Rhinolophus ferrumequinum: one gene and its partners. The protein of the gene in region 3 interacts with the protein of the main gene of each other region in a pairwise test. Links are inferred from orthologs where the notes say so. Each region holds a gene or a part of one and is shown on either strand. Other genes may lie near its edges. The genes, in order: TLE5, SCNM1, zinc finger protein RFP and ARHGEF5.

The links.
Region 1: the proteins of zinc finger protein RFP (region 3) and TLE5 interact in binary tests that used the Homo sapiens proteins (3 or more experiments, as listed by UniProt). The two-hybrid records come from large-scale screens. The link is inferred for Rhinolophus ferrumequinum from reciprocal best matches to the Homo sapiens genes TRIM27 and TLE5.
Region 2: the proteins of zinc finger protein RFP (region 3) and SCNM1 interact in binary tests that used the Homo sapiens proteins (3 or more experiments, as listed by UniProt). The two-hybrid records come from large-scale screens. The link is inferred for Rhinolophus ferrumequinum from reciprocal best matches to the Homo sapiens genes TRIM27 and SCNM1.
Region 4: the proteins of zinc finger protein RFP (region 3) and ARHGEF5 interact in binary tests that used the Homo sapiens proteins (3 or more experiments, as listed by UniProt). The two-hybrid records come from large-scale screens. The link is inferred for Rhinolophus ferrumequinum from reciprocal best matches to the Homo sapiens genes TRIM27 and ARHGEF5.

Annotation. Positions count from the first base shown.
Region 1 is NC_046301.1:60,176,295-60,183,206, forward strand, and holds the start of TLE5 (TLE family member 5), read left to right. Parts: upstream 1-3,892; 5' UTR 3,893-4,022; coding exon 4,023-4,049; intron 4,050-5,111; coding exon 5,112-5,209; intron 5,210-6,912. UniProt on the Homo sapiens protein: Transcriptional corepressor. Acts as a dominant repressor towards other family members. Inhibits NF-kappa-B-regulated gene expression. May be required for the initiation and maintenance of the differentiated state.
Region 2 is NC_046305.1:51,216,198-51,223,302, reverse strand, and holds SCNM1 (sodium channel modifier 1), read right to left. Parts: upstream 2,641-7,105; 5' UTR 2,528-2,640; coding exon 2,477-2,527; intron 2,212-2,476; coding exon 2,141-2,211; intron 1,930-2,140; coding exon 1,841-1,929; intron 1,742-1,840; coding exon 1,644-1,741; intron 1,544-1,643; coding exon 1,455-1,543; intron 1,017-1,454; coding exon 822-1,016; intron 679-821; coding exon 579-678; 3' UTR 519-578; downstream 1-518. Other genes in the region: LYSMD1 (lysM and putative peptidoglycan-binding domain-containing protein 1), read left to right, coding at 3,386-3,565. UniProt on the Homo sapiens protein: As a component of the minor spliceosome, involved in the splicing of U12-type introns in pre-mRNAs. Plays a role in the regulation of primary cilia length and Hedgehog signaling.
Region 3 is NC_046286.1:448,892-456,556, forward strand, and holds the start of zinc finger protein RFP, read right to left. Parts: upstream 3,010-7,665; 5' UTR 2,752-3,009; coding exon 2,332-2,751; intron 1,385-2,331; coding exon 1,289-1,384; intron 1-1,288. UniProt on the Homo sapiens protein: E3 ubiquitin-protein ligase that mediates ubiquitination of various substrates and thereby plays a role in diffent processes including proliferation, innate immunity, apoptosis, immune response or autophagy.
Region 4 is NC_046309.1:7,307,631-7,314,567, forward strand, and holds the start of ARHGEF5 (rho guanine nucleotide exchange factor 5), read right to left. Parts: upstream 3,020-6,937; 5' UTR 2,884-3,019; intron 2,396-2,883; exon of another isoform or gene 2,300-2,395; intron 1-2,299. UniProt on the Homo sapiens protein: Guanine nucleotide exchange factor which activates Rho GTPases. Strongly activates RHOA. Also strongly activates RHOB, weakly activates RHOC and RHOG and shows no effect on RHOD, RHOV, RHOQ or RAC1.

The DNA of each region.
Region 1 (6,912 bases), on a different chromosome or scaffold from region 3:
GATCTGAGTCAGGTTTTAAAAGCTTGTCAGCTCAGCAAATGGAGGGATATTGGTCCTCCCTAGTCACGGCTGTCAGTCTCCACTCAGAATCATGCTTGGCACACAGTAGGTGCAATAAATATTTACTGAGGGAATGAATGGATAATAGCTCCATTTGGGAGTGTGGGGGGGGACCCAGAGTGGTAAAATCACACGGCCCCAGCTCACCCAGACAGATTATAACAGACCAGGGGCTGACCCAAGAGCTGGACAGCTGAGGTCCTGGCTCCGACAGGCCTATCAGAGGGAGTCCCCGTGCCCACACTGCGGCCACCTGTTTCCTCCCCTGCCTGTGATTAATGGCCACGCAGCCCCATCCATCACGCGCCAGCCAGCGACTGGCTCTGCCGGGAGGCCACGGGGCCCAGTGCTCATTTGTAAGCTGGCTGCGAGGCTGGTCTCAGCCGGTTGCTGACATGAGACAGATCCCCGCCTCAATTTGGCCTCAGATGTGGCCCTGAGAACCCCAGGGAAAGGCAAGACCAGGATGTGGACCCAAGGAGTTGGGGATGAGTGGGGGCTGAGGGGTGTGGAATGGCAGCTACCCAGAGAGTAAGATCTTGGAAAGCCCCAATTCCCCCCAAATTAATGACATAATGCAGACTGTTCCCTCCGGAGCTGCAGTGCTCCGCCCTGCCTTTCCCTTCCTGCCACGTTCTGTTCTTTCCACCCAGCCATCCCCAAAAGCTCCCGCGCAGTGGCCCAGCCTAGCCTGCCCGTCTCCTGGAGCTCAGCTTGGGCATCCCCCTGATCTACGGGCCTCCCGCCTTGCCTTCCCCCATTGCTACTACCAGCAACACCTTCTATCCCCGGCCCTGGCAGTCTCTCTCTGTTGCTCTAAACCAGGGCTTCTCAACTGGGGGGAGTTTTGCCCACCCCCACCGCCTGGGACACTCAGCAATTCTGCTTCTCAGGACTGGGTGGGAGGTGCTCCTGGCATGGAGTGGGTAAGGCCAGGGATGCTATTCAACACCCCACTGTGCCCAGGACGGTCCCACTCCAGAGAACGATGCAAGCCAGCATGTAAAGAGTGAAGACAGAAATCCTCCTCTAAAACCTCCCCTGGCTCCCCAGTGCCCTCCAGGTAAAATCCTATCTCCTCATCCAGAAAGCAGGCCCTGTAGCATGCTGGCCCCCAAGCCCTCTCCAGCCAGTATCCCCCATACCCACCTCAAGCCCCATCCGGAGGGGCAGTAACGCATACTGGTCAAGCGCCCAAGTACCTGGGTTCACATCCTAGCTCTGCCACCTACCAGCTGTGTGATTTTGGGCAAGTCACTAAACTTCCCAGTGCCTTGATTTCTCCATCTTTAAATGTCATAATGGCAGTACCTAGGGTTAAAATGCTTAAGGTAGGGCCTGGCACATAGTAAACACATATACAGGTGGGTTAATTTACTTTATTCATAGGTTGGGTCACACTTCTGGGCTTTGCCACATGCCAAAATTTCAGTAATTTTCCTGAAAATTACTTTTTCCCGATTACTCTCCTTCAAAGGCAAAGCCCTGAGTCCCCCACTGTGGCCTAGTCCTGACCCCACTGTGCTGGGGGTATGTGTGTCCAGCTCTGGGGTCTGTTAACACAGGAGTTTTTGGTCACCGAGTGCCTGCCCAGGTGAGAGTCAGACGCAGGTGGCCTCCCAGGAGAATGGGTGTCTGGTCCCCGTGGTGTGTGTGTGGGGGGATGTTGGGGGCAGGGCCAACTTCATGGGCAGGTGACTCATGCACTCATAGCGGACCCCATGCTCTCCAAGGAAGGACCCTGAGCTTGGTTTAACGCTCTGTTGCCACCATATTGAAATTCCTAATCATTTTTGAACAAGAGGCAATGCATTTTCATTTTGCCCTAAGCCCTGAAAATTCTGTAGCCTGTCCCAATTGGGGACTCTCGTGTGATTTGTGGGGCCTGCGCATTCCACAACTCTACAGGAATATTGAAGAGCTTTCCAAACTTTGCTCCTTTTCTCTTACAGCGTCAGGACTAGAAAGGCCCTGCATTTTGGTTAACTCATCTCCAGCTCATTGGATCCTGTCTTTATTTAAAAGGCTGACATTTTGCTCATTATGCATTTTTACTTTTTATTAAATTTATTGGAGTAACATTGGTTAATAACATTATATAAATTTCAGGTGTACAACATTATAATCCGCTATCTGGACACTCTATGTGTGCTCACCACTTGAAGTCTAGTCTCCTTCCATCACCGTGAATTTTTTTGGCATCAGTTTTTATTTATAAAAATAGTGCTTTAAAGTATTATTTATCTTGAAGGATATTTTTAATTTTGTTTTGTTTTTAGGGTGAGGGGGGTCTTTAAATTTTGTTTCTTCATCTCACCCTCGTCCTGGCCCCTCATCTGCCCGGGAAAAGTGACCAGGGTCCTAACTTCCCATTTTATAGATGGGAAAACCTAAGGCTCCAAACAGTTATTCATCTGGAGAGGGCTGCAGAGCTGGTGTTGATGACATGAGAATTAAGAGGCTGTGTATGTAACACTTGCCAGGGGTTAATGTGCATGATTTCAACAGCTTCCTTGAGGCCTGAACTCCACATGGCAGCGAGAGAGAATCTATCAAAATCTGAGTCCGGTCCAGCCCCTCCCCTGCCTACAGCCCTCTGTGGCTCCCACCACGGCTGGGTAAAATCTCAAGTCCTCCCTGTGGCCCACAAGGCCCTGCACCATCTACAGAATTTGCAGTCCCAATGCAAACCGAAACTTTGAGGCCCCCTTGATCAAAAATAATTAGGAATTTCCAGACCACAACTGTAGATCAGGAACCCAAGCACAGGCTCTTCTGGGAGCAGGGCCCGTTTGAATGCTGGAAGCTGCTGGCCCTGCCTCCCTGCCCTCATTTCCTCCCAGGCTCCTCCGAGGAAAAAATGGGGCTGCCTCCAGGCCTTTGCATTTGCTGTTCCTGCCTCCTTGAATAAGCCACCATACCCCATACCTCTGTTGGCTCCCTCTGTCACCTTCAGGTCCTCTTTGCAGGCAAGGAGGCCCTCTCTGACACCATCTCTGTTTAAAATGGCACCTTCCTGGTCCTCCCCCTGGTCTATTTTCTCCATAGCTGCTACTACCCTCTGACCTGCCAGAGTTTGGGCTTGAGTATTTGTCTCTCGCCTGTCTCAAGTCGTCTCCACCAGGGTGGATACTTTGTACATCCCCAACCCACACCCACATCCTGGAGCAGGGCCTGGCACACAGTAGGCGCTCAATAATGTGTTTTGGAGGAATGGCTCCCAGGAGGCCAGCTGTATGACCCCCGCTGTTCTGCAGAAGAGGAAACCAAGGCTCAGAGAGCACAGCCAGAGAGCCAAGGTTACAGAGCATGTCCCTGGCACGCGTCCAGGTCGCGCCATGACAGTGCCGGCGGTTTAGATGGGGGCCGCCAGGCCCCTTTCTTTGACAGATAGGGAAACCGAGGCCCAGGCGGCCGCTAGGGCCACCCAGCCCGGAGGGGCGGCGTCCCGGCGCGCCAGGCGGGGGCTGAAGCCCCGGGCGGGGGCGCGCCGGGCCCAAGGTCACCGCGCCGGCGGCCCGCGGGAGGCGGGCTGGGTGGGGATCCGCAGGCCTCCCCGGGCGCGCGCCCCCCCCTCGGCGGCGCGCACGGGGCCCAGGCTGCAGCGGCAGCGGCAGCAGCAGCAGGTGGAGCCGGAGCTTCCGCGCAGCCGAGGCCGCAGCCACTGCCGGCGTTGCCGCCATTAGACAATAGGAGCGGCGGCCGGGCGTGCGGGGAGGCGGGCGGCGGGAGGGGCGGGGAGGGGCGCCGGGCGCGCAGGAAGCGGGGCCCGGGGCGCGCCGGGGCCGGGCGCGCAGGGAGGGGGCGCAGGAAGCGGGTGAGGCCGGGCGCGGGAGGCGGCGGCAGCAGCCCCGGGAGCTGCCGATCGGCGCCGGGACAAAGGCGCGACCGCCCGGCGCCCCGAGCCGCCCGAGCCGGGGCGCACAGCCGGGGCGCAGCCCGCGCCCCCCGCGGCGACTGACATGATGTTTCCACAAAGCAGGCATTCGGTAAGCGGGGACCGCGGCCCGGCGTCCCCCCCCCCCAGGTCTGGGCCCTGCGCGTGCCCCAGCTCCTGGCCGGGCCATTTCCCCCCATCCGCTTTCGGCCCTGCGGCCCCCCAGATCCGCACCTGGCACCCCCACTCCGGGTCCGAGCCCTGCGCCCCCCAGTTCCCCGCCGGGCCATCCTCCCCCCAGATCCGAGCCCTGCCATGCGTCCCCCCCCCCAGGTCCCTCCTTGCTCGGCACCTCCCCCCAACTCCAGGGCCCGGTCCCCTCCAGCTCTGGGCCCAGCGCTGGTCTTCCCTCCCACTGTAGCTCCTTGTCCCCCTCCAGCTCCCGGCCCGGACTCCCCCAAGCTTCAGGCGGGGTCCTCTCCAGCTCCCGGCCCGACTCCCCCAGTCCCTGGGCCCTGCGGCCCGCCCCCCACCAAGCCAGGCTGGGCCTGGGCAGCCTTGGCCTCGGGCCTGGGGCTCCCCGGGAGCCCCACCAGGCACCTCTAACGCCGGGGCTGCTTTCGGGGCCTGGGAGTGGGGGTTGATCCGAGGTGCATCTCTCCCGGAAGAGAGCGGCCTGTTGGGAGGGTACTGGGAATCTGGGATGGAGCCCCCACGGAAAATTTCGGGCGCTGAGAGGGCCCTCTCTTAAAGGACTTTGCAGAGAGACCTCGCTACCCCCCACTTGGGGACGGGGACTCCCTAGGACACGTTGTCCCCTCCCCGAGGCACTTGGGGCGCTCCGATGTGCACCCCCACCGGAGCATTGGAGCGGCGGTAGAGGGCGCACCCTGCCCCCCACCAAGGGCGGGCCTTGAAACGCACCCCCACAGCCTGGGGGTGGCGGGGGACGGAGCGGCTCCAGGCGCACCCACCCCCTCCACTTCCCCGGGAGAGGCGGGGGCAGGAAGCGAGGGCGGGGGCCGCGCCAGGGGCTGTAAACAGGGGCCCGGGAAATGGGGCAGTGTCGGGGGGGCGCTGCCGCTGCCCTGGCCGCTGCCTCCCGGCGCCCAAGAGGGAAGTGAACGGCCGACCCGGCGGCCCAGCCCTGACCCGGGACGCCCCCTCCTCGCAGGGCTCTTCGCACCTACCCCAGCAACTGAAATTCACCACCTCGGACTCCTGCGACCGCATCAAAGACGAGTTTCAGCTGCTGCAGGCTCAGTACCACAGGTGAGCTGGGGTCAGGGGTCTGTACCCCGGGAGAAGGTGGAGCCCCCTGCGCAGTTGGCTAGAAGGGTGGAGGTGGCGGCCCCTGCTTTGTATATGAGTACTTGAAAAAATATATGTATTTTCGTAGTGCAAATTGTATGGCAGGCACTGTCCTGAGCACTTTATCGGTATTAAAATCGTTTAGTCTTCCAAACAGCCAATTTCACAGGAGAAAAAGGAGGCAAAAAATTAAATGATATGCCTAAAGGCTCAGCTGTATGGCTTCAGAGGGCCGCTTCCCACCCCCACCCCAAGCCCCACATGATTAAAAACCTCCCAACAACTGGATTTGGGGGATAGATCCCCATACCTACCAAAATTAAAAATAATCGAAAAAAATTGCCCCAAAGACAAAGTTCTGCAGCCTGTTAGCCCTCTCTGCCCAGTTCTGGGGAAAGGGTTCCTGGTCCAACTATCTCAAGCATGGTTGTTCCAGAATTTAACATTTCCAAAGGGCTTGCCATGTGCCCTGATCTAAGGGGAACAAACTGTTATTACCTACGTCTTATCCTTGGAGAAACTAAGCCCAGAGAGCTTAGGGATTCCTAGGGGATGCACAGCAAGGAAGTGGCAGCAGACCTGAGATTTGCACCCAGTTTCTGAGTTGAAGAATGCAAATTCTCAAAGGCCCTGCTATGGAGGGGATCAGTAGGGGTCCCTGCCCACCAATTTCAGGGAGGTCTTGGGCTGTCTCTGAACCTCAGTTTACCCACGTAAAAAGATCTTGGATTTTCTTCAAGAAGAAAAGGGGAGTACGGATGTATATTCTTTCTTTTCTTTTTTTTTTTTACCATCCAACCTCTTGGGGTACTTCCCATGCTCCCCAAGTGTTAAATACTGAACATCTTTTGGTTTAATCTTCCTTGCTGTCTTATTATTGTGCCCATTTCAAAGATGAGACAGAGACGCTGATGGTGGAAGGGCAGGCCCAGGAACTTTGTTCTGGTCCTGTGATGTGGAGGGTTAGGGGCTTTGCCTGGCAGAGCTGGCCTTTCTGAGCCCCTGCAGTGGGTCCTCCCCTCCATGCCTGGTCCATGCCCACTTCACAGTGAGCACTGGGGCTGCCAATCCCTGATCATTGGTGAGAGTGTTGTTACAGTGCTGTGTGTCCTCGGGTAGGCCAGCCCCCTCCCCCCCCCGAGCTTTGGGGTCTCCATCCACTGGGCCTGGGCTTCCTACTCTACAACGAAGAGTCCTACCATGTTGGCACACAGGATCTGCCAGACCCTCAAAAAAGGCCAGAAAGCCAGAGTTTGGGATGAAATTCCTTGTCTGTTCTTTCTAATGGTGGCAACAAATGCACATTTTTTAAAAATTAGAGAAAAAAACTCAAGGGGTCACGTCAACCCCAGCTGTGACTCATCTGTGAACTGGGGTGTACAGTTATGGTCAGTCTAGCAGAGTGAAACACCAGGTTCCTGGGGTGACCAAGAGAGCAACAAGAATTTATTGGGTGCTTACTATACGCCAGGCGGTATTCAGAGAGGATTTCTGGTCTTAATTCATTTCATCCTCATCACCTGACCCCGGGAGGTTGGTATAGGAGGTTGGTACTTAACAGGCACGGAGACCAAGGCCAAGAGGGGTAGAAGGGTTTGCTCAGAACCACACAGCATCAAAGTAGCAGGGCTGAACTTTGAACCCAGTCGGTATCTCTTGAGTCT
Region 2 (7,105 bases), on a different chromosome or scaffold from region 3:
GCTCAGCCTGCCTCCTTCGTTGGGCTTTGGGGTGGAAATCTTGGCGCTAAGCCCCAAGGGTTACTGCCAGCTCATCAGGGAATTATTTATACTCTGGGGATCAGCAGGCAGGGAGGTTCAAGTTACGAGGACGAGGTGGGGGAGCTCCCTCCCTTGGTGCTCCCCATAACCCTGCCAACGCCTTTCGTCTACTTGCACAGGATTCCTAGCCTCAGCCCTGTTCCCCGATGTGGCCAGGCCCCCCTAGTTTCTATGCACAAACCTCATGTGATCTGCAGGAGGAAAGGACTTTGAGTGGAGTAGGGAGGAGGGCAGACAACACGAAGGGCAAAGACCTCCTTCTAACAGACTTATTAATAGGGCACCGGGCTGACGCAGCTGACGCCTGGCATGGCTTTGGTAAGAGGTGGGGGAGGGGACAGAAGTACGGGGAGCTGTGTACATGGCCGGGAAGGACTGGCCGGGCTGAGAACGAACACATCTGAAATCCTGAAGTGGGACAAGGAACCAGACTCGAGGCAAGTTAGGCTCCCAGCGCCCACTGTGTTTATTTGTGAACTAAATGGGAAAAGTGGGTGTCAGACCAAAGGGGGTTCGGGGGGTTCCTCCTCATCAGAGTCAAACTCAACATTCTCATCTTTTACCCATCGACCTCGTCCATCTGGGATCCATCCAGAGCTGGAAACATCAGAGAAAACAGAACTAGTCACAAGAGGAGGTTTATTGAGAAGTCAGTGGGACGAGAAAAAACAATTGAGAAGGTTTGGAAAAGGAGGGTCAGAGAGAAAAGGGAAAAGCTAAGGAAAGTAGACTGTGCATACCTCCGGAGGGTGAGGTAACGGTCCAGGGCTCGTCTCCTTGTGGGGCTCACAGGTGCAGGGGATGAGACAGCGGCTGACTCCTCAGCCTGTGGACCTGCCCCAGGCTCAGGGTCCCTACCGATCTGCCCACTTGGGAGTTCCACCTCTGGGGGTGGCAAAGGGGGGCGGGAGACAGAGGGACGAGAGGCTTCTGGTCTGGGCAGAGAAGAATCAAAGTCTGTAAGAGCAGTAAAGGAAAGAGCCATCTCTCCCATGACTCCCAACCCTTAAAGCAGTGTTTCCTACACGGTGTTCCTCAAGATATGAGTAAGTGTGCTGCCTGAAAAAGCTTTTGGAATCAAATGAATTTAGGAAAGATTTAGGTTAAAATTTTTTAAGTTCTTTATCTTAAGACTTTCTAGAGACCTTAAAATATACTGTTACTCTTCTTCAAAAGTATCCTACTTTGTAATCCTACCGAGCGCGCCTCTTCCCCCATTTTTTTTTTAATTACAAAATTCTCTTTTTCCTGAAATACCAGTCAACATCTCCAGAGTCCTAGTATTCCTCAGAGCACAATCTGGAAAACAAGCACTTTCGAGCCATCTGTCTCCTTTTGTCCCTCCCCGCCGCTGGCTTTCCCACCCCACAGACCTGCACTTCCGGCGGCAGCAACTGTTGTAACGAGGGGCTCTGTGCAAAGCGCTCTGGGTGATCAGCCGCGTCTGGGTTAACAGAGGAGCCTGGCATGGAGATCAAGACAGAGTCAGAGCTTCTTCCTAGAAGCCAGAGCCCTTCAAGCCTAAGGTCCTGCCTGGAACACACACTCCTCTCCCCGATTACCTCCGCTTTGGTCTCTTCCCTCTCCAATTCATTCTGCGGTCTTGGATTCTGCTCCATTCCCTTTCCTGGCTGCTTCTTGCCATAGAAAAGTTGCAGGCCTGAGGAGAAAGGGAAGAGAATCAAAAGCAGAGCACCACGAGTGGTCTGAAGACATTTTAAGGCTTTATTCTCCATCCTGTGTCTTCTCCCAAACTTACTGGACAGATGTTTCTTGCCTGCACGGTGGGCAGTTAGCATGGCCAGCGTGTCCAGGACAGGTCGGTGGGGACAGATAGCACAAGCAAAGCTGGATAAGAGGAGAGGAGACGATAAACTGTCCCTGGGCAGTCGGGTCTCTGCGGTAGATCCCACCCTGACCCGCCAGTCCTTTCCGAAGCCCAACTCCCAAGTACCCCAATCTCCACCACCCCCTTCCCTATCCCTCACTCTCCTCCTTAATAAGTTTACTGAGCCTCTAATCGCAGAACCCGCTGGCTTCATCCACTCTTTGCCCTCACCGTCCATCCCGTAGCATCAGCGCCTCATCCTCCGGGATATAACTAGCCAGCAGGTCCCCGACTCTTCGCTTCTGCAGGGAGTAGGGGAAGAAGTCCGGACGGCATCAAGGGGATAGGAGGAAGCGGGGAAGGGAGATGACAGGGACGAGGGCTTATAGAGAATGAGGACCACGGGGAGAGCAGAGATCATAGGGAGAAGGGCTCACAACCCAGCCCCAGTCGCCTGACTCCCTCCAGGCCCGCCCCCCCCAGCTGTTGCCAGAGCAACAAAACAAGTGTTTCACGGCCTTCAGACGGCAGCGGAAGCTGCTCCAGACGCTCTTCTCTCGCGCTTACTTTGAGCACATTGAGTTGACTCCAATCGTCCCCTTCTCTCTTGAAAGACATCACGACTGTGAGTCCCAGAAATAATGAATTCTACCGCCCCGCCTTCGCCACTCCTTTCCGGCCACCGTAGCAAGGTGGGCGTCTCCTTTCCTTCCGTCTCTTTCCGGTCGGCTTCACTTCCGGGGATGCGTTTCTACGCATGCCCCGCGCGACTCCGAAAGCCCGCCTCCAGCCCGGCGAGGGGGACTGCATTTCCTATCGTCCCCTGCGACCCCGCAGACGCGGAGCTTTTTGGGAAATGAAGTCTTTTTTCGAAGAGCTGGATCCAGGCTCCTGCATCTTGTCATATTCGAGGCGTCTGGAGGGATAAGAACCTAGATGTGGAGCCCGAATTTGAGATGCGGAGGGAGCCTCTGAGGACCTCTGAGTGGAAAGTGTACTTCAAACTCTCGCAGTCATCACGCGCTTCGTCGGCGGTGACAGCCCACCTGGGTGGGCCCTAATTTGATCACCACGCATTTAGACCAACCCCTGGACGGGGCGGAGCCGGGGTTCGGGGGGGGCCGGGAGGCAGGGCTGCCCGATCTGGGGGCCGACTGAGCCGAGTGTGAGAAAGGTGTCTAGAGTTCAAAGGTCAGAGGTCAATGCCGCGAGTTGTAGAAGGTCGAAAGTTGGAGGGGTACTAACGGGAGACTCAGGTAGGGATTGAATACTCAGGGTATAGATCTGGGGGAAAGGAGCTTGGAGGGAGGAGAAGTGAGGGTGGAGAGGGGGGAGCCTAGTGCTGGGGGAGACTTGGGAGAGAAGACAGAAGTGAAAGGAATCCCTGGTTGTCGTTAGCAGAGCCCGGCCAGTCACTATCGGTCGCTTAGCCTGGCCTCCCGCAGTTGCAACCCCAGCTGCCCTCAGTGTGTGGAGATGGCTTCTCCCTCCAGACAGGCCCCCCTCGGGGGGTCAGGACTGCTTCAAGGGAGCCGAGCTCGTTCTTATGGAAGCCTGGTGCAGTCGGCCTGCTCCCCAGTGAGGGAAAGACGCCTGGAGCATCAGTTGGCGCCCGGAGACACCCTGGCTGGACTAGCACTCAAATACGGGGTGACGGTGAGTTTTTCAGGATTGAGATGTGGGCAACTAGTTAGAAGAGATTTATTCCTCTGGAGAATGTCATGGCGCTTCTAGGCAATTTCCCCTGAAATTTCCCTAATGTGTTGTGTTGTCTGATCTGCCTTTATCGTTTTCTTTTCCCATCTCAGGGTTGCACTATCTGATGGGGACACATCGTGTCCCATTATCACAGTGGAAAGGGGCAGCTCCCATTTATTATACCAGTCAAGATGCTGGCAGCTTTACATACATTAGCACATTTGATCCTCACATCCCCATAAGCATACAATTGTTGTCCCCTTTTCACTGATGAAGAAACTGAAACTTAGATTGGTTAATCAATTTGACCAAGGTCGAATAGCGAATGAGCGTAAGAGTGGAAATTCAAACAGGTCTGTCTGATTCCAAAGTCCGTACTATGAACCACATAGAAACTATTTAATTGAGAATGATTAAAAATTTACGGCAAATAATGGAGAGCTGGTTTTCAGTTCTAAGTTCCTAAAGTGCCAATTTCTTCTTATTCTTTTCTCCCCCCTCAATGCTCTGCCTTCTTTCCAGGAAGGTGGCCTCTTTGGTGCAAAACAGGTACTCTGTACACCAAGTATTTCAGGTCATGCATAGAGTATACTTAACAGGTGTGAAAATATATTGCACTAAAATTGATGAGGTTTTTTTCTTTTTCTTTTTTCTTTTTTCCATCTCCTGTTGAATTTGGCCTACACTGTTATGCTTGGGAAGTTTAAAGCACTGTGGTAACCATCTTGGGAGATAGAAACATAAAATGTATAGTTGTTGCCTTCATGTAATTTCCAGTCCAGTGAGAAATGGACAGGGACACAAATAGTGACTGTAGGTGACAGAACGTGGTGAGTTTGTAGAGGTGTTAACAAAGGGTGGGACATCAGACAAGAAGATGACTTTTCATTTGGAAGGGAGCAAAGTTGGACATCAGTGAAGATTTCAAGGGCGCCATCATGAAGGGCCTTGAAAGACTTAGAAGTTCCTTCCTCTAGGCTCCTCTCTACAAACCTAGGGTTTAATCCAGTTGTTTACACCTTTTACATCTTTGTCTTCAATAGCCTATACCCTTCTTCAGGGATGGAACTATTTCCTTTCCATTTTATATCTTAGAGTCTGGTATAGTCCTCAGCACACAGAAGCTTAATAGATGTTTTGTGAGTGAATGAAAGTACGGCTAAGATTTTCACACATGGAGATTGGGAGTATGGGAAAGTGAACATTTCAAGTAGAGGGCATGGTCTGAACAAAGGAAGGGGATATGAAAGTACTGAGCAGACCGTCCATCGCAGTAGAGACTCAGGAACTGCGCAGAGAAGGGAACAGTGCTACTCGTGAATCAAGATTTATTTATTGAGGATTTCTGACAGCCCTGTACCTTTTTGAGTACAGAAAAGCTCTGTAGTCTAGTGAAGAATTCCACGTTCTGGCCTCATTCTGTCTCTTACCAGCTGAGTGGCTGCATTAGTCACTTCCCCTGTCTGGGGCCTCAGTTTCCTCACCATTTGTAAAATGAGGAAGATGTATTAAATAATGATAATTACCTAAGTTATTACCTACCTATCATTCAACGAGCACTTAATGTATGCCAAACTCTATATGGTATCTCATGTTATCTTCGTAAGATTTTATGAGGTAGGTGGAACTAGTCTCATTTAAAGATAAGGAAACTGAGGCTTCGGGAGATAACTTACCATAGACTACACAACTAGTCTAATCAGCAGAGCTAGGATTCAGACCAGGCTGGCTCATTCTAAAACCCTCACTTTGTACTCCTGTGTTAAACTAACTAGATTCTAATGGCCTTTCTAGCTCTTAAAGATCGGCTCCGTGGCCTAGGACTCCTCTGGACTTTGACCTTGGGTCCTTCATTTTTAGGAGTGGAACGATGTCCCCTCCTATATGGTACTTCTAGGAAATAACAAAGGCAACAGAAAAGTCACAGATTAATTCATAGTATCTTGGAGCTCAAAGGGACTTAGGATGTTATCTAGACAAAGTGAAAGTGCAAAACTACAAGCCAGTTTTAACTTCTTTGATTGTTCACAGTAATCTGGTTTTATTTTTAAACACCTTATAGCATAATATTTTATTAGTCAAGTTTATTCTAATCGTCTCGCCCCAGGATGGAAACACCTTTGATACTCGATAGGTGTAAGAAATAGGATTTCCCAAACTGATAACAATATGGGGTGAGTTTTTAGAAAAACTGGCTGCCTGGCCTCTGACAATAAAATACAGATATACGATATCCATGGTTTCTATATTTTATTATCTAGTTTGTTTATTCATAAAGCATTAATGAGCCTCTGCTGTGTGCCAAGTGTGTGCCTTAGGGATATAGAGACAGCAAGTCACCATCCTGCCCTTAAAGGACTTACAGAGTTTGGGCAAGACAGATATGCAAACAGATGAATAACAATATAATATGTTGGTCATTATTATGGTAATATTTATAGTATGCTTTGAGAGCCCTGAAGAAGGTAACACAACGGGAGTGATAGTTGATAAGTAGTTTTCCAGGCTGAGAAGGGTATGGTAAGTTCAGGATGGCAAAATGTATAGGCGGCAGAAGAAGAGAGATGAGGCTGGACATCCGATGGCGCTGGATTGAGGACGCCCCGAATGCTAATTTGCATTTTATCTCAGCCAATGGGAAGCCACAGGGGGTTTATAAGCAGGGTAATGGGTTGATCAGATTCATTTTTTTAAGAAAGATAGATACCAGCAGGGTGGAGGGTGAAGAGGAATGGAGAAAGACCAGTTAAAAAACTTGTAATACCCAGATGAGACATATTAAGAGTTGTTCTAAGGTAATGGCAGTAGAGTGAATATGAAACCGCATATGAGGGAGAGTTTTGCAGCACTTTTGTTGACCACTTGGGTCTGGGTGATGACAGAAAAGTATGAGTTAAGGGTGACATTGATATTTCGACCTTGGGAGGCAAGTAGATAGATGGCGATACCTGTCACCATGTTCAGTAATGAATAAGTAGCTACTAAATAAACATTTGGTCAATGAAATGATTACTACTGTACTGTGGAAAGCAGTCCCAGAGGAGTGAAAAGGCCCTAGCTCTGTCATTCATTTGCTAGATTATTTTAGGCAACTCAGTTCCTTCATCTTTAACAGAAGTTCCCAAAGTGACGTCCAGGGGCGCCTAGGGGTCCTTGAGACTCTTCAGGAATCCACAAAGTCAAAACTATTTTCATAGTAATTGTAAAGTAATAAAGACTTCATTTGCCTTGTTCGTTCTCATTCTCATGAGTGGATTGTGTTTCCCACAGGCTGAATCACATGTTATGGCAACAGATTGAATGGAGGGGCAGATACGAGAATCCTGTTGTCTTCTATTAAGTCACACATTAATGTGATTTGCAAAAATGTAAAACAGTGCCTCTCTTCTTGCTACATTTTTTTGTTGTTTTGGAAAATACAGTTATTTTTCATTAAAATATTTATGTTAACATGTAATGGGTTTGTTGTTTTTAAACAAATACATGGTTTTAATTGTT
Region 3 (7,665 bases):
CAAACTGGCAACCTTGGTGTTTTGAGCACCATGCCCCAACCACTGCGCCAACCAGCCACCCACCTGCAGCTCAGCTCCAAGCCATTGTTTTCAATCTAGTTGTGGAGGGTGCAGTTCACCCGCCCATATGGGAATTGAACCAGCAACCTTATTGTTAAGAGATAGTGCTCTAACCAACTGAGCCGTCCGGCTGCTAATGGGATTGTTTCTTGATTGCAGGACAAGTAACCTCCCTGCCCTACTCTCCCCAACCACTTGATTCTTGAGAGGGTAGTACTAGCCTTGCTGAAGAACAAGTCTAATCCAACCTATCCATTTCACAGATGAGGAAACTGAAGGCCTACAGAGGTTATATTCCTAAGTCCAGGTTCCCTGATGATCAGAGAAGGACTATCTCCCCTCGTTGACAATCCTCCCACAGAGGAGAGGCCATGTGCATAATGATTTGACTCCACTCAAGCTCACTAGAAGATTCTCCATCCATCAGACCTACTTTCAAGCAAGGAAAGCTGAGGTCTCAGCTTGTGTGGGCAGAACAAGTGGTGGCATTTGAGGATATCATGGGAATAAGTTCCCCGTCCACAAGTTCTCTGCGACACCCTGGCCAGGCTGACAAAATTTCTTACAAAATAGTGTTATATACTACTGGTCTAACAGTTTGCTTTTCACATGCAAATACTCCTAATGGGTAGAAATTTTTACTATTTATTGTTCAAAAAAATGCTTAAAAAACTAGATTGTGGATATGTAAGTGTTTATTATAAAAGTCTCTACTTTTTGTTTTGGTTTTCAAAACAAAACCCCCAAATATCCCTGTCATAAATTAGCCATTCGCTAAGGCTTTAGGAGACTAAAAGAAGGAAACAAAGTGAAAAGCTCAGAATTGAAGTGTTGTCAAGAAAGGGAACACTCCAGCAAGAAGCAACAGTGGGGCTTATGCAAAGCCACTGTCGGCATGTGTCTGCAGAAGGGTACCAAAGGAGGCTGGCTGTGCCCGAGAATTTCACCTATGTCAGCTCTGTCAAGGATCACCCGTGATCTAAAGAAAGCTAGCAGTTTAAACTTTGGATAGGTCGGCTCTCCAGGGTTCCCAACCTTAGCTCTTCCATCCTTTCCCCAAAAAATATGGGAATGCTCGGGTCTCCAGGTTAGTTCCCAACGGCCATATGGTCTTCCCCACCTTCACCTAGAAGTCTGGAAGACTTGACTGGACAATGTTAAGCCTTACAAAAGAAGGAGTAACCAGCAGAAGTGATATTATCTGTGAATCCCAAAGACACTTACTTACCAAGAGCTCAGCTCGTGCCTGCTCCCCCTGTGCCCGACGCCTCTTCTTTAAGTCTTTCACTCTTTTTAGGTGGTCCAGCTGGTTCTGGATTTGCTCCTAAGAAAAGCAAAAACAGTTGGGAAGTTCAGGATTAGGCAGATCTTAGCATCAGCATGGCTCTTCCGCTTATCACACATGCAACTCACATTCCTGAAGCCAAGTCCGGGATTACAGCCTGTCCTTGAACCAGGCACACGGGGTCACCACACCCCTCCTTTGGCAGGTTGTGTGTAACTTAAACTGAGTCAACTACCTGCCCCTGGAAGGATGCCTACTGCATGGCCTAGTGGAAAGGTGACAGGACCAGGAGGCTTGGAATTAAACTGGAGCTCTTCCACAGTAGCACACTGAGGAAATGACTTCGTTTCCGTGTTACTGTTTAACTGTGCTAGTCTGTTGGTTCAAGAGTTCACAGGGGCTCCATCCACATTTTAACTTAATCTTCGTAATAACTGTGTTACCTCTTATGAGTTTCAAAGTGGTTAAATAACTTAAGCAGTAAAGAGTTGTGTTCTTTTCCATGAGTTTCTGGAACAGAACGGAGCACAGGCAGTGCTGGGGAAATGCTTCTCGAGTAGGTGGTGGGCATCTACCTGCCAGGCGGGTATACAGCCAGTTAATGTGTCTGAGATCAACTAGGAGGCGACAGAGTACGAGCGTCTCTGAGGCTTGCCGATGTGCACGTGGTTTTACACGCATCTTTTATACGGGAGTGGGGAGGGCTCCGTGGGCTGTCTTTATGTGCCCGTGAACCGGTAAACAGACGCAAATAAGGAAAGGAGAGTGGGGGCGGAGGGGGGGCTTCTGGCTTCCTCAATCTACAGGTTTTCCTCCCAAATCTGTGTGCCGAGGCTCTGCAGCAGACAGAGAGGAAATGACGGCTGTGAACCACACGACCTGCTCAGCCATTTTCTAGGCGGAAAAAAGGAAGCCTCTTTGGATCTCTCCTCCCTTTGTCCGACACGCTCTCCCGCCCCTTCCCGCGCGGCGCGCCGGGCCCTCACCTTGAAGCCCTCCACCGCCTCCTCCAACGGCAGCACACTGTGGCCGCGGTGCTCACGGGAGCGGTCGCACACCACGCAGATGGGCATCTGGTCCTCCTCGCAGTACAGCTTCAGGGGCTCGCGGTGTTTCTCGCACACGCCCATCTCGCCTCCGGGCCCCGACGGCCGCTCGGTGCGCAACTGCTTCACCAGCTGGGTCACGTTGGCCAGGTGCCGGTTGGGCCGCATGTGCCGCTGCGGGAAGGTCTCCCGGCACTGCGGGCACGACACGTTGATCTCCGCCGCGCCCCAGCAGCGGGTGAGGCACGCGCAACAGATGTTGTGGCCGCAGTCGAGCATCATGGGCTCGGCGAAGTACTGCAGGCACACGGGGCAGGTGGTCTCCTGCTGTAAGCACTCGGCCACGCTCCCGGAGGCCATAGCGCGGGCCCGCGGGGGCGCAGGGGCATGGGCCCCAGAGCCCAGCTCTGCGCGGCGCCCAACTCTATAGCGCGCCCTCCGGTTCGCTGCCTCTGGGCGGCGTGGGGCAGAGAGCGTGGCGGGCGGAGGGCGGCGCCTCGCGGGCCCAGATCCCAGACGCGCCTGTGCACTGGCCCGCAGAGCGGCAGGGCGGCCCCCAGCGCCGCGGTGCCCAGCACCGGTAGCTCGCCAAGGCTGCGGCTCCGCTGAGCCCAGCCGCTAAGCGATCCGGGCGTCCCCGTGGGACTCGAGCGCCAGAGGCAGGACAACGTGGCCGCGTCGGAGCGGATCCCGGCGGCCGTGCAGACCCCACCCGGCAAGAGCGGAAGAGGCGGCTCCGAGGGCGGGGCTTGCCCGGGCCTCTCGCCACCGACGTGATTTCGTGGCCTCTGGGCCTGGACTCTCCTCCGGGAGAGAACCGAGGAGGCCTGGCCGCCCGCCCTAGGGCGGAACGCTCAGGAGCACGAGACTCGGTGACCGGTAACAGGCATTCGGTGTCTGCGGGGCGCGGCGGTGACAGAGCAGCCCTTGTCTGCACGCTCCGGGCCCACCGCCGAGTTTCCGCGGCCACGGGCCTGGACCCCTAGTCTTTGGCTGGATTTCCTCTCTGTGCTCAAGACTCAGCTCCGGCGAGAGCAAACTGGCTCTGCGTTGGTGTGGGAAGGACAGGCACCTGGCTTCCCCTGGAGGGACAGGGGTAGCCGACCTAGTCCCACCCGGTTTGTGAGTCGCTTTATTAAACAACTCCATTTACAGGCACTCGCAATTTTGTTTCAAAAAAGAAAGGCTTAATCAGACGGCAACATTCCTGTGGGACAAAGAGTCAGATAAACCCAGTTCAACTACTTCCTAAGCAGATTGTTTACTATTCTGAGCCTGTTTCCTCTGGTGAAATGGGAGTAACTGCACCGCACCAAGGAGGTAGACTTCATTATGTCTTTGCTTGTTTAACCTTAAGGACGTTTACCCGCTGCACGGAGTTGTGGTCACTAGGACTTAAACATTTGTGTTCTTTCCCAAAGTCTTGGGAGCTTCTCAATCCTGCGGTGACCTGGGCTCTTTTCATTGTCCAGTAGGTTTACAAATTTTTTGGGTTTCTCCCTCATCCCTACCTTGGTATTTCTTAGTTTCCTTTGCTGTTTTCTCAGTATTGTCCTTCATCCTCTAGATTTGATCGAATTTGGACATCCTTGCTTTGCTTTATCAGCTTGCCTCTGTTCCTTTTCATTTCCATAGTACGCTTTGACCTAAATTATTTCAAATGTCAGTTTGCAAATGTTTGTTAAGTCAATTAGTAACTGAGTGAATGCATATATAACAACCGCAAGGGACAGAATCATCCTGAACAGCCCCCTTTCATTTAGTCACTTCTCACACAGAAATCTTCAAAGCTTTTTTGCTTCCAGGACATTGTCCAAACCTTTGAGCGTGGAGTTCAGTCTGAGCACTTCCGGCCTCCAAGTCGGCTGCCATTCACAGTCTTCATACAATGCTGCCAACCCAGCTCTGGCCCAGGCTGTGCTCACCACAGTCCTCTCCAGGGCCTACTCATGAGTCCTTCCTTGGAGCTTAACCTAAACAAGTGGGTCTCATCAATCTCTCTCTCATCAGCCTCCGAGGCTCACGTAACACCTCAGATTCTGATACTTGGGTTATTTTCCATCTTAAGATTTTCTTTGACTTTGCTTTGGAATTCTTACCTATCGTTAAGGTTAGTTTAGAACAGTAAATGATGTGTGCTCTCACATTGTCTAATGCACTTTATGAATAAGGAAACTGAGGTCAGGTCCTTAAATGACTCTGTGAGGACAGAAGCTCCTCTCCAGCCCTTCTATGTTCTCCATTACACCTTTTCCATAGCTTTACTCAGATTGGCAGTACTTAAATGCTTGTTGAATTATTAGACTAATAATTAATGATTCTACTGTCACATTTTATGCATACTTCTTTGTAACAGTTATTTATTCATTCATAAAATGACTGGTACAAACACAAATGCCTGCTGGAGACAAGAAGGTAATTTAAATGAGCAGGTCAAATCAATAGGGAAAGATGGGGACTGTGACTAACTGGAGGAAAAATGTCCCTCCTGAGAGGCAGCTCATTTCTATTTAGCTGAAGATGACCATTGAGTATGTGGGCCCAGCATATTGCCAATTTTCAGATTTTCAAGAGAAGACAAAAATCTTATATGAAAATTTTATATGAAATTTATTATTAACTAAAAATTGTAAAATCATCTATGCAAGATGAAAATTGGCCTCCTGCCCTCCAGTGTGGGACTTCTGGTACAGCTATTTATTTTAGTAAGTGTCTATCAATCTTAACACAACATGAAAGGGACTATTGGTGACTATTTTATAGCCAGTGTCCGCTCTTTACTTAAAATTTTGTTCCAGGTAGCAATATGTCCAGCTGAAAGATACTTCCCAGGCCCCTTTGCTGCCAGAATTGTAGTAAATTCAAAAAGGCAATGCTACAATATGAAACCTTGTCTGGCTGGTTACGGATATTCCTAGGAACACCCTTACCTCACCCAGAGCTTCTTTCACACTTCAACAGTCTTGAGATTGTGGGTAGCCAATGGTATCTACATGGTAGTTTTTGGATGGGAATTTTGAGAAAACTTCTTAAAGAAAGTCTACTCAGCTGAGAAGTATGCCCTTTTTAAACTTACCCCTTCCAAGTTCTTTCAGCCTGGAGTGTGCCCATGATGGCAGGAGCTCAGGCAGCTGTCCTGGACCATGAGGCAATCTTGAAGATGGAAAGCATCACTAACATGATGTAGTGAAAGGTAAAGAAGCCTAGGTCCTTACTCACTGCAGAGTGACTGCATCCAAATTTCATCTATGTGAGTGAGAGTAAAGCCACTGTCTTTTTTAAGCCACTTATTTGGATTGTCTGTATATGCAACAGAAACTAAACCTATCTGATAAAATACAATTTTTATTAATAAAACGTTTTATTTTAAAATGAATTCCTACCTACCCCCTCTACACAACCTATCTGCCCTAAGAACACCAGTGATTTCTAAAAGTATGGGCTAAATCCAGAGGACACTATTCAGTCTGCATCTTATTGTTTCTGAGGCATTTGATACTGTTGACTCCTCTCTCCTTGGATTGGTTTTATTTCTTGGCACCAAACTGAGTAGGACCTAATGAGGCCTAAGGTATTTCTGCTTCCTCTTATCGTCTTTTCTCTTACCTGCCTTTACCATGTAATACTAAAGTTAGTCTGGGAAAACAAAAAGAATGGTCAGGAAAAACACAAAGCTACAATAATTAAAGTAACAATAAGCTAGTAGAGCAAAGGGACAGAATAGTAACTAAGAAGTAGGCCTAAATGTGAATAAGAATTTAGTAAAAGATGAAGGAGAAATTGCAGGTTGGTGTTACGCATTCAGTAAATGATCTGAACAACTGGCTAGCTGGGGGAAAACATAAAAAGATCCCATCTTACTTCTTATACCAAAATATATTCTAGGACAATGGAAGATTTGAATTTAAAAAAAAGTGAATCCATAAAAGCTCTTTAAAAAGAAAACTGACTGATTAAAAATAATAATCTGCCGGCCAGGTGGCTCAGGCAGTTGGAGCTCCGTGCTCCTGACTCCGAAGGCTGCTGGTTCAATTCCCACATGGGCCAGTGGGCTCTCAACCACAAGGTTGCCAGTTCGATTCCTCAAATGGCGCAAGGAAAGGTGGGCAGCGCCCCCTGCAACTAGCAACATCTACTGGACCTGGAGCTGGGCTGTGCCCTCCACAACTAAGACTGAAGGGACTACAACTTGAAGCTGAACTAAGATTGAAAGGACAACAACTTGACTTGGGAAAGAAAAAAAAATGTCCTGGAAGTACACACTGTTCCCCAATAAAGTCCTATTCTCCTTCCCCAATAAAATCTTTAAAAAGATAATAAAATAATAATAATAATTCTTGTCTGGAAGTTCTTTCCAAACATGATCCCAAACCCAGAAGCCACAAATGGATAAATTTGATTTACATAAAAGTAAAAAATGACTTCTATACAAAAAAAGTAGCTCTAAACAGTCAAGCAATAAAGGAAAATTGGGAAAAGTTATTTTTAGCAAATAAGACAGGATGAATTTCCTTGAGAGACAAAAATACTTCCACAAATCTAAGTAAAAAGCAGGCATGAGGAAGCACAAAGGATATGAACAGATGGTACAGGGAAAAAGAACAAGTGGTTAATAAATGTGAAAAGAGGTCCAACTCACTATTAATGAAATAAAATTATGTGGTGGTGCTTTCAATTAATGAGATTAGTAAAGATCAAAAAGCTCAATAATAGTGTTGGTGAGAATGTAAGGAAATAGGCATTCCAGTCCACTATGGGGATGTTAATTGGAAGAACATTATTGAGAATAATTTGGCAATAGCTCATGTTTTTAAATGCCCAAACTTTTTGAACCATTTGCTCTACTTCTCTCCCATCTGCACAAAAGTGCTTGATTATAGAAGGATGTCATTATAGCATTGTTTGAATTTGTGAAATACTGAAACCAACATAAATATGCTTTGGTAGGGGACAAGTTAAGGAAAATACTATGCAGGGTGCTTTTAATAATTATACAAGGACAACAGGTACAAATAGGAAATGTTCCAGATAAATTTGGGACAAATCATCACTCTTTCTTTGAAGACCCCACTCAAAAGGCTCTTCTACTGCACAGCTTCCACGTAAGTATCATTGGCCACTGCAAAGGACATTGGGGAGTGTAGTCTTTCGCTGAGCACTTTGCTAACCAAGGTAAAAATCAGGGTTTGTGAGCAAGGAAGAAAGAAGGTGAGAATGACTACTGATAGGTCATTAGCAGTTTGTGTCACGTCACAGGCCCTGAATTAGCACTAC
Region 4 (6,937 bases), on a different chromosome or scaffold from region 3:
ATGTGACCCTGTTCTCTCGACCACACGTTAAATAATATACTTGCTCACTGTAAACATTTTCTGAAACTTGGCTCCTACTTGTCTGAGGAGACTGTGTAACTAAATCTGTAGTCTCCCCTCACCCACATGTGTGTTCTCCTGGCCCTATATATACACCGTCATGTCATCAAAACAAGCAGTCTCTAAATATATAAGCATGTTTCTGCTATATTTAGGCAACACACACACACACACACACACACACACACACGCTCCACAGACGGACATCTTCAGTTCCATTCTAGTGACACAATCATGGCTGCCTCCTGCAACCCCACTGACACTACTTCTAACACTGTCTTTACCCATTTGGAAATGTCAGGGGTCACCGGCTCAGTCACCATGTCCCTTCACTTGATGGTCCTAGTGATCTGATCACAGTCAGGCACCACAAACCTAGCACATGACAAAGCTAAAAAGGAAATCTGTAAAACGTGGTTTTACTCACATAAAGACATAGGACAGAGATTTGTGCACTGCTCATTACGTCAGAGTTGCCTCTTAGCTCCTTCTCTACTGGGAGTGAATAATCACTAACTGAGCACATGCAGACAGACACGCATCAGACCGGCCAGAGACAGTTTGCATCCACTGATCCAGTTCCACACGCGACTTTGTTCAACACAAAGCTCCAAGTCACCTCATTAACGCAGTGTGTGACAGAGCTCAATTTCTCCCTTGGAGCCCCCAATACCTTAGCTCTTGTCCATTTCTAGTCTCCAGACAAAAAATTGTATTTCAAAGATACCCCCCCTCCCCAGTCCACGCCCACCTCCATCACACTGCTTCTTCTTCGAACCCATGTTGACTGCCATGAATGGTGAGAACCATGCTTCCTGGATTTTCGAGCAGCGTCAGTTTTTAAAATTCTGCTTTACACCACAAATCACTGAAATGCTCTTTGAGGTGACAATACTTCTGCATTTACACTACGTCGTCTATACTGCTGCTTATCTTAAGAAAATACCCCCAAAGTCAAAAGACAGGTTCTCATTTTGATTTAGAAAATAAGAATACCACATAGATATATGCCTTTATTCACTGTTTGACATTATTGCCCCAACACTACAAAGATTTAAAAATAAGAGTAGCGATCTGGACCACTCGCTGTGAAGACCTGTGTTCTGTCTACTTTAGGAAATCCTACCCTCCATCCCAGTGAAAACGTAACAAACATCCATATCTATTCCCTAATGTCTGAAAATACCACCTCATTTGCTGCCCTGTAGCCCAGATGGGCTTACACAGAATGCCCCTAGTGGCAATGCTGACAGATACTCCACAAGCCCACCGTGGCCCAGCTGCCACCCACACAGATCATGTGAGTGGGAGTGACCTGTGTGTGTCCTCAGCATAGACCTGAGGGTGACTCAGGTCTCACCCACCTTGCACACACTCTGAATGGCCAGCCCCTGTTCACTCCAGACACGGCGAGTGACTTTCCGGGATCCAGATGCTGTCAGCCACCTGTTTGGGTCTACACCACTGACACTTGGGTAACACTGCTCTTGTTCAATCCATGACCCTGTGAGTGACCCATTCTTTCCACACCTTGTGGTGACTGGCCACTCCAGATACCACAAATGACATCATCTTGTCTATCCCATAGCAAGCCTCAGACAGACCACAATGTGGGCAGCCATACACTCTAGGGACCCCTAAGGTGAAGAAGCTGACTGTGTTTACAATCACTGTTCTTTTGATAAGAGGGATTCCTTTACATCCCTCCTGGCCCCTCTCTCTTCCCCACTGGGGTGATGACAGACATCCATCCTGACCCCCATTTTGCTAAGACATAGGCAAGGACTTTCTCCACACTCCAGGTACAGATAAAACAGGAAGTCTGAGAAAGAGGCCACCTCAGGAGCAGTGTCGCTAGGAGCTGGGATTTCTGGAGTAGGCCAGGGACGCAGGGCCTTAGAATGCCACGGGGGAAGCAAAAGAGGGAAGAAACTAGAAATGAAAGCCAGCCGCTCTCCCTCATCTGTTTGACACACCCTCCCTCCTCAATCTGACAAGAGTCCTGGCCAGAGTTCACTTCTAGGTAGACAGGAGGGCAAATCTGTCTCAGGAATCAGAGATCCAGGAAGGGGAGCCGGGACTGAAATCTGAAAGCCAAGTGGCATCAGGATTAGCTCTCCTAGGACAGTCTTGCTTATAAATGATGCTCAGACCTAGAGCCCCACCCCCACCCAACCCCCACCTCTAAATAGCTCCCTTCCCCGCCTCCCCACGTTCACTAGGCAATATTGTGATTGACCTGAAGCTTCTGAAGTACTCCCCAGATAAGGGGAAGGAGGCGGGAGGGGCAGGAGTCACTTTTCCTCAGAGCCTGGCTCGCCTGGGAGAGGTATGGCCTTAGACATACAGTGTGTAAATCCACAGGAAACAGGGGAAGGAGGCCGGGGCCTAGTTAAGAAAGAGCAGACAGTAAAACATCTCTACGTAGGGAGCAGGTCCACAAAGGGGGTCTCAGTTATTCCTTATTATAGGGCTTAGCCTTCCCCAGGACCTTGACTTTGAAGAGCTCCTATTATTGGCCTGGGGAACATCTGGGGGCAGGGTGCCCATTTCCAAGGCGGGGACCAGGCCGGAAGCAACTTTTTCAGGCAAGAGCATTTCCTCCAGCTTCCCTCCTCTTCCCGACTAGGATACTCCGTCACACGCCCCGAACTCTGCCTACGCCCAGCCCCCCATTTCCGGAGCCTGCGCCCCGGGACCCAGCAGGGGCTGGTCCCAGAGTGAAGGCCTAGTTTCCTTGTCTTTCCTGTCCCTCCCTTACCTCCCCCGGGTCTCTACAGCCGCCTGCCGGAGCCGGGAGCTGCGAGGGAGAAGGGTACCCACCTGGGCAGTGTCACATGCTGTCTCGGCCCAAGGGCTCCCTCCGAGTCCCAGGCGCCGGCCGGCCCCGTCGCGTCTCCGTCCCCGTCCCCGTCCCCTGCGCAGGCCTGGGCTGCCTTAGCCGCCCCACCCGCTCCTGCCCTTCCCCGCCCGGCCGGGAGGGAGGGATCTGGTTCTCCAAGGAAGTTTCAGGTGAGGAAACCAGGGACACACCTTCCTGGGGGAGGGGCAGGGCCTGTCTGCGCCGCTGCCCCATTGGTGTGAAAGAAGCTCCCGCGTCAGAGCGGGGAAGTGGCGCCCGGCTGGGAGGGTCACCCGGGCGGGAGCCCAGGGCAGGCGGCGGCAGGGGGCAGGGGACAGGGGACAGGGCCGGTAGGAGTGACCAGAAGGAGTGGGACAAAGAGGGGAGAGAGTGGGGCCTCTCCCGTGTCCTTGTGTGGCTCGGCAGTCTGCCTGGGCGTTTCTTCTCCCCTGCACTGCTCCAGGTCTTCACCTGAGCCTGACTCGGACCCTGCTGATCTGCCTTCCGTCGGTGTTTATCTTGGGCTTATCTGAGTCTCTGAATGTTTGAGTCGCTGTGTTTGTACGTGCATCTTTATCTCCAGGCCTCCCTGTTCACTGCTCTTCCTTAATGTCTCCTTGTCTCTCCCTTATGAGGAAGGGTGTAGCCTGCTGGCTGGCTGGCTCCTGTCCTGCGGTTCTGTCTCTCTCTCTCCCTCTCCCTCCCTCACTCCCGTCCTCTCTCTCCTTGCCTCCCCCTACAAGGCCATCTCGTACAGCCTAGGAATGACATCTCTAAAACGGCATGCCATGTCTTTCCTCTATGTATTCTCTGAGTTCATTTTAGGATCATTATACATCCCGGGGTGTGTTTTCCTTCTCTGTTCTTCCCAGGACCTCTGTGCTTGTGTGTGTTTGTGTTGCACTATCTAAGCCTAAGTCTCAGGCCCGTGTGTTTTTTCATGCCTGTATTTTTTTCCAGATTTTTTTCAGGGAAAGCTTGTGTTCTGTTGGTCTCGAGTGCAAAGCTGAGGGTCTATCTTTATTCCTCTCCACAGACTTCAAACAATGCCAGAAGGTTCTGTGGTACAGCCGGGTGCGCACACACAGTAAGAAGCGCTCACCTAGGCACTGAGATTCTAGGTAGGTAGGTCCATTTTAGTCAGACCACCCCAGCCTCACTCATGACTCCCTGCGGTTCCCTGCTCCTGTAAGTCAAGTAGAATCTTTCCAGGAATGCCCTGATCTGTAAGCCCAAATGGCTAGAGGGTTAGACTGTTTGCAGATTACTGCGCCCATTGGCTGCTGCAGATGCCGGCTGGCCATGCCTACCCCCGTTTTGAAGGGGGCTTTTGGGTACAGCGTAATTAAAGCAGAATGGTGTCTTCTTCAATCAAGTCCTGAAACATGTCTGTGTTCAATTTCTGTGCTACTTCCGCCATGCTGCTCGGAGGGGTTCAGTCCTCCACCATTCAGCAGCCTTCCGCCTCTTCTAAGCTGCCATGTAGGTGTGGGAAACACCCAGGGAAAGCCAGGACTAGGAGTTCAGCTAGGAGACAGCGGGCCTAGCACGTGTCATATGTTCAGAAAGGGGTTGAAAGTGGGGAGTGCAGTAAGTTAGAAAGTTCACTGGAGCATTATTTACAATGGCCAAGATATGGAAGCAACCTAGGTGTCCATCGATAGGTGACTGGATAAAGAAGATGTGGCACACACATACAATGGAATATTATGAGCAATTAAAAAGAATGAAATCTTACCATTTGCAACAACATGGAAGGACCTAGAGGGTATTATGCTCGGTGAAATAAGTCAGACAGAGAAAGACAAATACCATATGGTTTCACTTATGTGTGGAATATGAAAAAAAAAAAAAAGAAAACAAATGAACAAACAAAACAAAAAAGACTCATAGAAACAAGAGACCAAAGGGATAGTTGACAGAGAGAAGGGGATGGGTGGATGGGTGAAAAGGGGAAGGGAAATATAGGCAATAATATTGTGATATGTTTGCACGGTGACATGATTACTAGATTTAGTGGGGTGATCACATTGTAAGGTATAAAAATGTCGAATCACTATATTGTACACCTGAAACTAATATAGTATCTTATACAAACTATACTTGAAACATTTTTTTCATAAAGTCATAAAAAGAAGTTTAAGCTAGAAGTGTCTCTATTTCTAGGCTGGGAGAGCAAACTCAGTCCAGGGTCTCGGTGAGCAAAGTTAGTAAACCCCCTGACCCCTGGGCACCAGTGGCTGATGTCTGCCATGCTCCATACTGCCTACCAGGAGAGGGCGGTGTGGTCGGCGGTGCTGGGCCAGCCTCCCACACCAGCCTGGCTCTTCTCCTTGCCCCACACCAGCTCCACTGATTCTCCTTGATTATACCTCTCTATCCCTTTGTTTTCTCTCTCAGGTCTCATAGACTTGACCTCCTCTTGTTCTACCAGCTCTGACCTATCAGCATTTTTGTTTTGTTGCGTCACCACCCTTGATTCAATGACCTCTGGGCTATTGTCCAGAGAGTTAAGCATACAAGGCTCAGCTGACTTTTCAAGTAGTAGTGAGATGTAGGAACATTAACACTTATCACTTAGAACATCCCATGGAGCACCCTTGCCTGCAGGGTGTGTGCATGTGGGAACCAATCTTGCTCTGGGCTCCTCCTCTACCCTTCACTTTGCAAACTATGGTTCTCTCTTTTTTTCTTTCTTTCCCATTTCTTGATGCTTGCTCTTGGTGCCTGGGCTTCTTAATTAGGCCTGTCACCCTACCCCCATATTTTGATAAAGGGATTACAGTGATCTCTTTTAAAGCAGGACCTCATAGAGTTATCCCTGGGGCTGTCACTGCCCTGACCAGACATCCTTTTGGTGACACCATCCCATGTTACTGGCCACATGGTCCCCCACTTGGTTAGCTCGGACTCTCAGTGGTTCCGGTGCCAGTTCTTTAAAAACTGCTCTGGCCTTTCTGACTCTGCCTTTTGTCTGATCCCATGACTCACCTTTGAACTTTTTGAACGGATTTTGAACTCAGTTCTTTCCTTAACCTGACCGACCATGGTCTCTCCATCTTTCTCCTTTAAGTCCAGCCTGACTTGGCCGAGGGGTTCTTAGCTATCCAGTGCCATTCCGAGGGACGTATTTTTTCTGTTCTCATCCTTGGTTTCCCCTTAACTTCTTTTCTCAACCTTTGCACATTGGCACTAGCCTAAATTTAGTGCTGTTCAAGGTACAAATACTAATTGCTTCATCCACTTTTTTTCTTTCATTCATTTACTCAATATGCATTTTTTGAAACCAGATATACAAAAACCAAGTCTCTGCCCCCAAGGAGCTCTCAATCTAATCGAGGAGAGACACAAGTAGCAAATAATGACAGCAGCGTGTGATGTATTGTGTTGAGATGTACACAGAGTGCAATGGTGACATAAAGGACAAGAGCACTGCTTGGGGAGTAAGAGAAGGCTTGAAGGATCAGGTGATTATTTGAGCTGATTTGTCTGAAGTACTCTGTTCACTGGTGGAGAGGAGGACAGAGAAAGGCATACCAGCAGACGAAATGGGACATGCAAAAACAGAAGCCTGAACACCTTCTGTTGAGGGAGGAGCAAAACGTGTGGGCTTAACATGAGGCGTGGTAAAGACAGGGCAGAGAAGGAAAGGAAAATTAATGGGAACTATGTAAGGTGACAGACATGTTAATTAGCTTTGACTGTGGTCATTTCACAATCGTAGACGTGTGTATGTGTATCAAAACATCAAGTTGTACACCTTATGTGCAATTTTTATTTGTTAATTAGACCTCAATGAAACGGAAGGAAAACATTTAGAGGAGCCTCATCTCTGGAAGTATGAAGTCCGAACTCAGCAGCAGGCATGGCCTACCAGCCCCTTGGTGATCTGGCTGCCTGACCATCCTCTTTCCAGGTCTTAGGAGGCTCAGAGTTCTGGAAATTTTTCCTTTAGGTCTGTTTTTAAGTTGGGTACATATGTCATAGGAAAATCTATATATGCCCCTACATTTTATTCAGTTGTGCATTTCCAGA